Tribolium castaneum: one gene and its partner. The protein of the gene in region 1 purifies or fractionates together with the protein of each later gene. This does not show direct contact. Links are inferred from orthologs where the notes say so. Each region holds a gene or a part of one and is shown in the gene's direction. Other genes may lie near its edges.

What was found.
Region 2: the proteins of timeout (region 1) and TIMELESS-interacting protein purify together in Homo sapiens (affinity purification with western blotting; 6 studies listed by BioGRID and IntAct, counting the BioPlex papers as one, with this or other methods). This does not show direct contact. The link is inferred for Tribolium castaneum from reciprocal best matches to the Homo sapiens genes TIMELESS and TIPIN.

Annotation. Positions count from the first base shown.
Region 1 is NC_087397.1:5,982,036-5,985,857, forward strand, and holds part of timeout (protein timeless homolog), read left to right. Parts: intron 1-3,004; coding exon 3,005-3,058; intron 3,059-3,105; coding exon 3,106-3,169; intron 3,170-3,221; coding exon 3,222-3,423; intron 3,424-3,474; coding exon 3,475-3,617; intron 3,618-3,822. UniProt on the Homo sapiens protein: Plays an important role in the control of DNA replication, maintenance of replication fork stability, maintenance of genome stability throughout normal DNA replication, DNA repair and in the regulation of the circadian clock.
Region 2 is NC_087396.1:10,975,211-10,979,765, reverse strand, and holds the start of TIMELESS-interacting protein, read left to right. Parts: upstream 1-1,441; 5' UTR 1,442-1,513; coding exon 1,514-1,897; intron 1,898-1,951; coding exon 1,952-2,521; 3' UTR 2,522-2,549; exon of another isoform or gene 2,550-2,846; coding exon of another isoform or gene 2,847-3,285; intron 3,286-3,497; coding exon of another isoform or gene 3,498-3,838; intron 3,839-3,890; coding exon of another isoform or gene 3,891-4,025; exon of another isoform or gene 4,026-4,169; intron 4,170-4,425; exon of another isoform or gene 4,426-4,555. Other genes in the region: NSFL1 cofactor p47, read left to right, coding at 10-283, 344-543, 589-808; Herp (homocysteine-responsive endoplasmic reticulum-resident ubiquitin-like domain member 2 protein), read right to left, coding at 2,847-3,285, 3,498-3,838, 3,891-4,025.

The DNA of each region.
Region 1 (3,822 bases):
TAAAATCACTGTTTAATCTCTATACCTATTATTATTGTTATTATTATTAATTATTTTATTATTATTTTGTAACACAGTACCGTGATTGACTGACAGACAACGCACAGCGTAAACCACTGAATCTAAAAAATTTGGAAAATAAGTTTCTTAGCGTGTGTAGAGTTTTCCTGAGAAGAGGTTTTCCGAATATTTTTTTTTGAAAGGGATGAAATGGGGTGTTCAAATTTGAAAAAAAACGTCATTTTATAAGAAAATTTAAAGTTATATTCATGAAAATTGGTATTTAGGCCTTACGTTAAAAATGAAGAACGTGTTCAGGATTTTCGAAAAATCAATCCCTAAGGGGGTTAAATGGGGTGTTAGAGTTTATTTGAAAATCCATAATTTTAGAAATTATTTGGTACTTAGGATTTCGTTTAAAGATGAAAAACGCAATATAAATATAAACTTTTTTAATTTTTTAACTTATATTCATGAGAATTTTTATTTGGGCTATAGACTAAAAATAAAAAACGCGTTTTTTATGATTTTTAGAAATTCCACTCTCAAGGGGATAATTATACAAATCCATCATTTTTGAAATTATATTCGTGAGAATTGGTATCTAGACTCGGTGAAAAATGAAGAAACATGTGTTTTATGATTTTTAGAAATTTCACCCCCTAAGAGGGTTAAATTTTAAAATCACGAGTATATTCTAAAAAATTGATATTTAAGCTTTCGGTTAAAAATGAAGACGCGTGTTTCTGGATTTTTCGAAGTTTTACCTCCCAAGGGGCTTGAATATAAAAATACGTAAATTCTTACCATGAAAACAGGTATTTGCTAAAAAAAAACGTGTGTTAAAGATTTGTTGGAAATTCCACCCCCAAGGGGATTGAATGTAAAAATCCTTTAAAGAAACGTGTAGTTCAGGATTTTTAGAACTTCCACTCCTATGTGGGTTGAATACGAAAATCCGTCATTTTTGAAATTATATTCATGAAAACTGGTATTTGGGCTTTTAGTTAAAAATGAAGAAACATTTGTTTTGTGGATTTTTGGTTAAATGTTAAATTTTGGTCAAAATTTAAATGAAAATCCATCATTTGTAAAGATAGTATCCATGAATAAATTATTATAGTATTGGTATATTGGGATTTTCGGGTTAAAAGAAAGAAACACGTGTTTTAGGATTTTTGGAAATTCTATCCCCAAGAGTGTTAAATAAAAAAAATATATTCATATAGCTACATTTGTGTAAATTGGTATTTCTAATGTTTTTGGAAATTTGATTCCAATGGGACTAAGTAGGGAATAAAAGTGTGTACGAAAATTTCTTAATTTTTAAGTTATACAGGGTGTTCGCCAAGATGAGACATTACTTTTAACATTTGATATTATACATTGTTCTTAGAAATTTTTCCCTCAAACACCTTAATAAAATATTGATGATAAAGAAGATACGACCGTAATTACTTTTTTTAATATTGAAGTCACGACCGTAATTACTTTTTTTTAATATTGAAGTCGATCTTAATTAAATTTGCAAATTTACAGAAAAAAATCATAGGTTTTGATCAAAAAAACTTAGTCGTATGGACTTACTTTTGCAGTAATAACAAGCTTACAGATATGTTGCTATATAAGAATAAAAGTAACATAATTGAAAATCTGATGTCTTTAGTAACAAGAAGATAGAATTGTTTAAAGGGGCAGATAAACATTAAAAAAATAAAATAAAAATTTATTTTAACACTTATAAAACTTACAAAATATTTTTTTTTGCAACAAGCATTTCTGAATTTTTCTGAGAAAAAACGGATTATTTATTTACATTTAACAAAAGGTTCCGCATTGGTTTGAGTTAACGTAATCATAAAACTCATAAATAAAGAGTAAATATTTCTCTGTAAACGCCGTTGGTGAATTTTATTAGGTATAAGTGACAATTCCATCCAAATAACACTAAAAAGCTTTTATTTAAAAACAACAACAAAAAATGATCAAAAATAATAGCATATATGATTTGCCAAAACGAAAAATTTCAAAAATATTTAGATGTGTATGGACTCTGTAATTCTAATGAAATGACTCGGCTGTTTGGTGTTCCTGTAGTTAAAAAAAATTAAAACAGCTTTGCTCATTTATACAAAAAAAAGGTTTCATTATTAATTACAATATTCAGAACTACAATAATAAGCGTTGGAAGATGGAATTCCATCATTAACTAGATAAAAAAAAAACATTTATGATCGGTGTGAATTAAAATTTACGCAGACGAAGTCGTAAGCAATTGACAAAATGAAAAATAATAATAATAAATTGCATTTTTCTGGTAATTTGACCTAGATTTTGCTGGTTTGTGGATTGTTGACGTTGCTATTTGTCGAATCTCGTCCGTATTTCTATGCAGATTAGGCAATCACCATGTGCCGAATTTGCGTTAGCGTTTGAACTGAATGGTGCAATAATTAGTCGGATGTCGAGGCACATGCTCGCAGGTGACCGCTTGCAACAATGCACATAATTACCGAAACTAATTGAGCCGTTATAAACGCATTATTGGCACGGCTGCGATACGCTTGCTGCTTGCGAGCGAAATTTGTATCTCGTTAATCCCGACTCGGGCTCTTTTATTTTCTTATCTCTGGCATTAGCGTTAAATTTAATCAACTTGCTGTTGCATGACAATAGCTCCCGGGAGACTTTTACGGCTAGGTGCGAACTGAAATGAAGCTATTTTTGTAAAATATGACGCCATCTCGATTGCAATGGTCCGAAAACCGCATTAGCATGAAACGTCGTTTCTAATGCCGCTTTTTAATCTGGATTTATCTTGAAATATTCATAAACCAGGGGCGGTTAAGTGGATAACCGGAGAGACATTGTAATGTCGGACTAAATTGCTAACAGTCAGCAAAAGGCGTAATTAGTTTAAATTACGTAAGAGACTCAAGTAGTGAAAGATAACAAGATTAAATGCGACGCTGGTATAAACATTTCTTACCCCAATTTTTTACAGACGACGAGCCGACGCCTACCATCGAGGAGCAGCCGATTTACGACGAAAACGACGGTGAGTTTTACTCAGACTGGAAGTAAGTACAAATAACTTTCTTCCAGAGGAGGAAGACGAGGAGGCGGGCTATGGCGAAGTCAATTTCAAATTCACCGATTTTTCGAAACGGTACTTTCGCAATTAATTAATTTTTCTAGTTTAATCGGAAAATTAATTCTAGCTTGGCTCACCCTCGAATAGTGCGAGCGTGTGGCCTAGCTTTGCGCGACTTTGAGTCAAATTCCGTGAACACAAATCACTGCATCATTAAGTTGCTCCATCGCATCGCTTTCGATTGTAAACTGTACGTAATGATTTTTCAAGTATCAATTTTCCGGACTTTTCAGAAGATTTATGCCAATAAGGATTTTCCCCAATATCGTGTAGGTAACGGTCCCGGGATTTAAACCTCGATTAACTTGAGTGAATTGCAGGAACTTGTGAAGTTTGCGACTTATATTATTCGGCAATTTATAAAAATTACGGAGATTAATAAGAAAGTTTATATGGAAAGTTTGTTCTTCAAGAATACGAATGAGGCGTACGAGATCGAGCATGGATATGGGACTACGAAAAAGTAAGTTTTTTCACGATCCTAATACGCCGGTTATTCGGACGCTCGTTTGAATAGATATTTCGATTTACTAGCGAATTTTTCGGTGTGACAGACACGCAAATTGCAATGTTTGCACCGACACGGACGCGAAATTAATTAACTAAATATTGCGACTGATTCAGGGCCCAATGACCAAATTCTATCTCTTCGTTGTCCTCGCACAAAA
Region 2 (4,555 bases), on another chromosome or scaffold:
GAATTGCAGACATGGGGTAGAGATAGTTGATCAGAAACCAGGGGGCTCGAAACTTTTCAAGGGCAAGGGGTACAAGTTGGGGCAAACGGCTGATGATTCTGAGGAGGTTGAGGGGGCTGCTGGGCCGGCGCCTTCACCTGAAGTCACTTTAAAGCTCTGGAAGGACGGTTTTACGGTGAATGAGGGAGAGCTGAGGGCTTACACTGATCCTGCAAATACTGAGTTTTTGCAAAGTATTCAGAGGGGCGAGATTCCGCAAGAGCTGCGACAAGGCAATACTGAGGTAATTATTTGTTGTGTAAACATTGTTTCAAATTCAATTTTATATAATTAAATTGTTCAGGTTTATCTAGCAATGGAGGACCACAGAATGGAATCTTTCAAACAGGTTGATAAAGGGGTTAAGCCGTTTACAGGACAGGGGTACACTTTAGGTAGCCCTGCGCCCCCTGTGGTCGGAGCACAAAGAGAAGAGGATAAACCAGCCAATGAAGAACGTGCTAAACAAGCTTTAAAACTAGATTCTTCCCAGCCAACGACAAAGTATGACTTTTCATATTAATTTTGTATGTTATTAATTTTTTTCAGTATCCAAATTCGCTTATCTGACGGTTCAAGACTTGTTGCCCAATTTAATCACACTCATACTGTGGGAGACGTGCGTCAGTACATCTTAACAGCCAGACCCCAGTACCAAACAAGAAATTTCAATCTACTGTCAGGGTATCCATCCCGAATTTTGGAAGATTCTCAATCTCTAGCTGAAGGAAATTTGCTTAATTCTGCTATTATGCAAAAATTAATTTAAGTTATTTGTGAAATTCCCTTCATGATTGAAACATAATTTATTAGGACAATTTTTCTTTTGATAATGTACTATTACAAACATTAGATATTAAAATTTCAAAAGTATTAACTGCGTTTTTTTAAAACCCGAGGTGTGGGGTGTTGTCCTCTGAAAAGTTTCGGTTGAATTCACATTCTGGCGCGCAAGTCAGTTGTTAGTCACTGTATGAGTTTTTGGTATTTTTTAAACGATTAATTATTTAATTAATAACAAACATGCCAAGCAAGGACTACGAAGAGCCAAAGAAACAAGTCGACGAAATGCCACAACCCGAAAATCCTCAAGTTCGGGAGCTCGACTTAACGGATAAGTTAAATAAAAACCTCCTGCAATCATTTCTGTCACGCTTGAACCAGTCTGATGAGGGCTTGAAAAAATTTATGGTGCCAAACACTAATTCTAATAGTGATAATAATTTTGAATAAAGGATTAATTAAAAATATTAAAAATTAAAAAACCTCCTGCAATCATTTCTGTCACGCTTGAACCAGTCTGATGAGGGCTTGAAAAAATTTATGGTGCCAAACACTAATTCTAATAGTGATAATAATTTTGAATAAAGGATTAATTAAAAATATATCGTATTCTTTCTGTAACCTAACCTACAACTCCTATAAGTGTCAGAAACCTGTCAGAAAAGGGCGCGAAAACTTAGCGTTTGCAAAAATGAGTTCATACGAAGATTCAGACGTGGAAATTACCGAAGAACTTGGTGTAGAGCAATTTGAAGAAAATGCAGAGCAGACGGAAGAAACCCCCGCTGAGAATAACGAAGCCGAAGCAGCCCCAAGTAAACCGGTGAAAGCGAAACGAGTTATACGAAATCCCCAACCTAAACTAAACGCGGAAAGACTGAAAGGGCCCCGTGGTCTGGCAGCTCTAGAATCACACTTCGATCGCGTCAAATACAAGGGGAAAGGTTACGAAGAGCAAGACTTGGGTGTGATTTTAAAAACTTACGAGTACTGGTGCCACCGCTTGTTTCCCAAGTACCCGTTTGATGAATGTATCGCCAAAATTGAAGCACTAGGATCCAAAAAACCTGTTGTTGTAAGTACAGTTAGCTTTGTCAATGCGTGTTAACATCTTGCGATCTTTTTTTAGACTCATATTAAAAGAATCAGATATGATTTGTTGGTTGAAGATCCCCCAATTATAAACAACGATGACAGTGATCCTGAACCTGAAGCACCAGCAGAAAGTCAGTTTGACGCTGTTGCTGGTTTGCCTGGAATTACACAACCTAATGACGAACCTGAATTAACTGAAGAACAGTTGGAAATGATCAAAATAAATAGAGAAAGAGCTGCAAGAATCAGGAAGGAAAGGATGACACGCGGTATAAATGAATCGCAAGGCTCTGAAATTGTCGCAACTACAGCCAGTGAAGGAAATGATCTACCAATGGCAAGTCAGGATGAATTTCCAGATGATCTAGAAATGGAAGAAATAGGACAGTCGGTAGATGCTTTACCAATGCCAAGTGAAGATGATTTTCCCAGTGATCAAGAAGAAGAACTGACTAGACAGGAACCGATTATTTCAAGCGCGGAAAACGCACACCCAACTCAAGATGATTTATTTGAAAAAGAAAATGAGCAAAACTTTGAGGAAAATTCTTCCCAAAGCCAAGTCGGTTCGCAGCCCGCCAGTGAAAATTTGTTGGAGGATTAAGATTTAAATGAGCCGGAAACTGCTTAAGGTAGGATTAGTAGTTGCAGTTATTTAAAAAAACCTTTATTGGAATTTTGGTTAAGTTACAACAAATTCTTTTATAAATAAAAATATATTTAGATACTTATTATAAAATCACAATTCTTTCTAAAGCTATAATATGAAATATGTACATTAAAAGCTATACAACAAGTAATATAAACATTTTAATGATTTGGTATTGTGTTTACATTGTAATATCAGCAGATCTGCTCAAACTAAACTCACTCCAATTTGGAAACCTTGTCTAAAATTTGCTTAAACTTTCAACGAACGCATTCCCAAATTAAACAGCATTTGGAATTTCTGGAATCAAGGAAGCAAAGAACGTCGCGAAAAATGTCCAAACCACCATCAACCGCGACGGCTGTTGCTCTTCTTGTGGCACAGGCTCGGGGGGTACAACATTGTTGTTATTATTGTTGTTATTGTTAATATTCCTGAAGAACCCGATTTGGTACAAGTAAAGAGTGAACCCGAGCAACAGAACAAACACGAAACGCAAAGGGCTCGAGTAAAAATACACCACACTGAAAAGGACCAGCACTCTGCTCAGCATGTAAAAGACATCCAACCAGTCCCTTTCGGGGTTCTCCGGATCCCTTTGCACGGCGGCGGCCGGGGCCTGGGCGGCTGCCTGCTCCGGGGCGTTCTGCTGGGGCTGTGGGTCGGGCGCGGCCGTGGGCTGTGCGGGGGCGGCGCCGGTCCCGTAAGAGTTTGCAGCCCTAGGCAGAAAAATCGTAAGACTGATAAGTTATCAGTATCACATTGCCGGACATTCTAGAAGCTTTGATTAAATTTCTGATCATTCGCTTCCGAGGGGCGGTCAAGCTAACAAATGACCATTAATTTTATTGTAGTAATGGAAATGGTATGTTTAAAGTGGCAAAGGTCGGGCACCAGAGTTATCACCAAGGTCATGGAAAAGTTTGCTTACAATTGCATGTACTGGGTCATGTATTGGAGATATGTTTGTTGCATCCATGCCATTTGCATGGCGTACTGGTTGGGGTCCATGGTGGGGTTGTTGCCCCATGGCATGTTAGGAACGTTCTGTTCTGGCGCGCTGTTGGTCGGTGTGACGGGGGGCTGGGGGGTCGTCATAGCGGGCTGCGGGGGCTGTCTGGGCTCCTGTCTTGGTGTTTTCGTGTGTTTTGGGGTGCACACTAGATGCACGGTGTGGGTTTCCTGGCCGTCGTACTGCCGCAAGACATCTTTGAGTGTGACCGAGTCGTTTAAGAGCTGGCCTGAATAGATCAATTTTTGCTCGTGTTTGGGCTGGAATGGGGGTTATTGAGACGGGGTCAAGGTTTCGCAGTGAAATACTCACCGGTTTGCTGGGATAGACTTCGGACAGGTGCTGTTTTAATTTATTTATAGTCCATGACAGCTCGCATTTGATTGTTTGATCTTCAATTTGTTGATTAGGCGCTTTCACTATCAATGTGATTGGTAATGTTTCCATGTCTTCCTTATTTAAATCCACTTTGGCAGTTGTTTATTCACACAATCAAAGATTTATTTACAAACTGGCACTCGAAATTATATTATTTTCCAGGCTATCTACACGATTTTAACATAATATTTATCGCTGTCAAGAGCGACAGTATTTGGCGGTTTGCGATTGGCTCGGCGCGGTCATGTGACCGATTATGAGTGGGGGGGGGGCAAGAAAAGGAGGTCTATTCAAGTATTCATGATTATGCCCACCTTCGTAAAAATCATTCAGAAATTCGATTTTCCCGTTTTAAACGATTAGAGGCACATATTCGGTTTCTAATAACAATATCCCAGTTGCTGGTAGTCGTGGTTGTATGTCTTTTTTTTTCATGGATAATAAAACTGTTTAAAAAAAACGATTTAGACATCGTGAAAAATCTCTATTTTTACACCTGGACAAATAACACATTTCATTAGGTCAAAGGTTTTCCACGGGTAATTAGTTTATGTAAATAAATGTTTTGTGATTGTGCCTGTACATAATGACGAAGCACA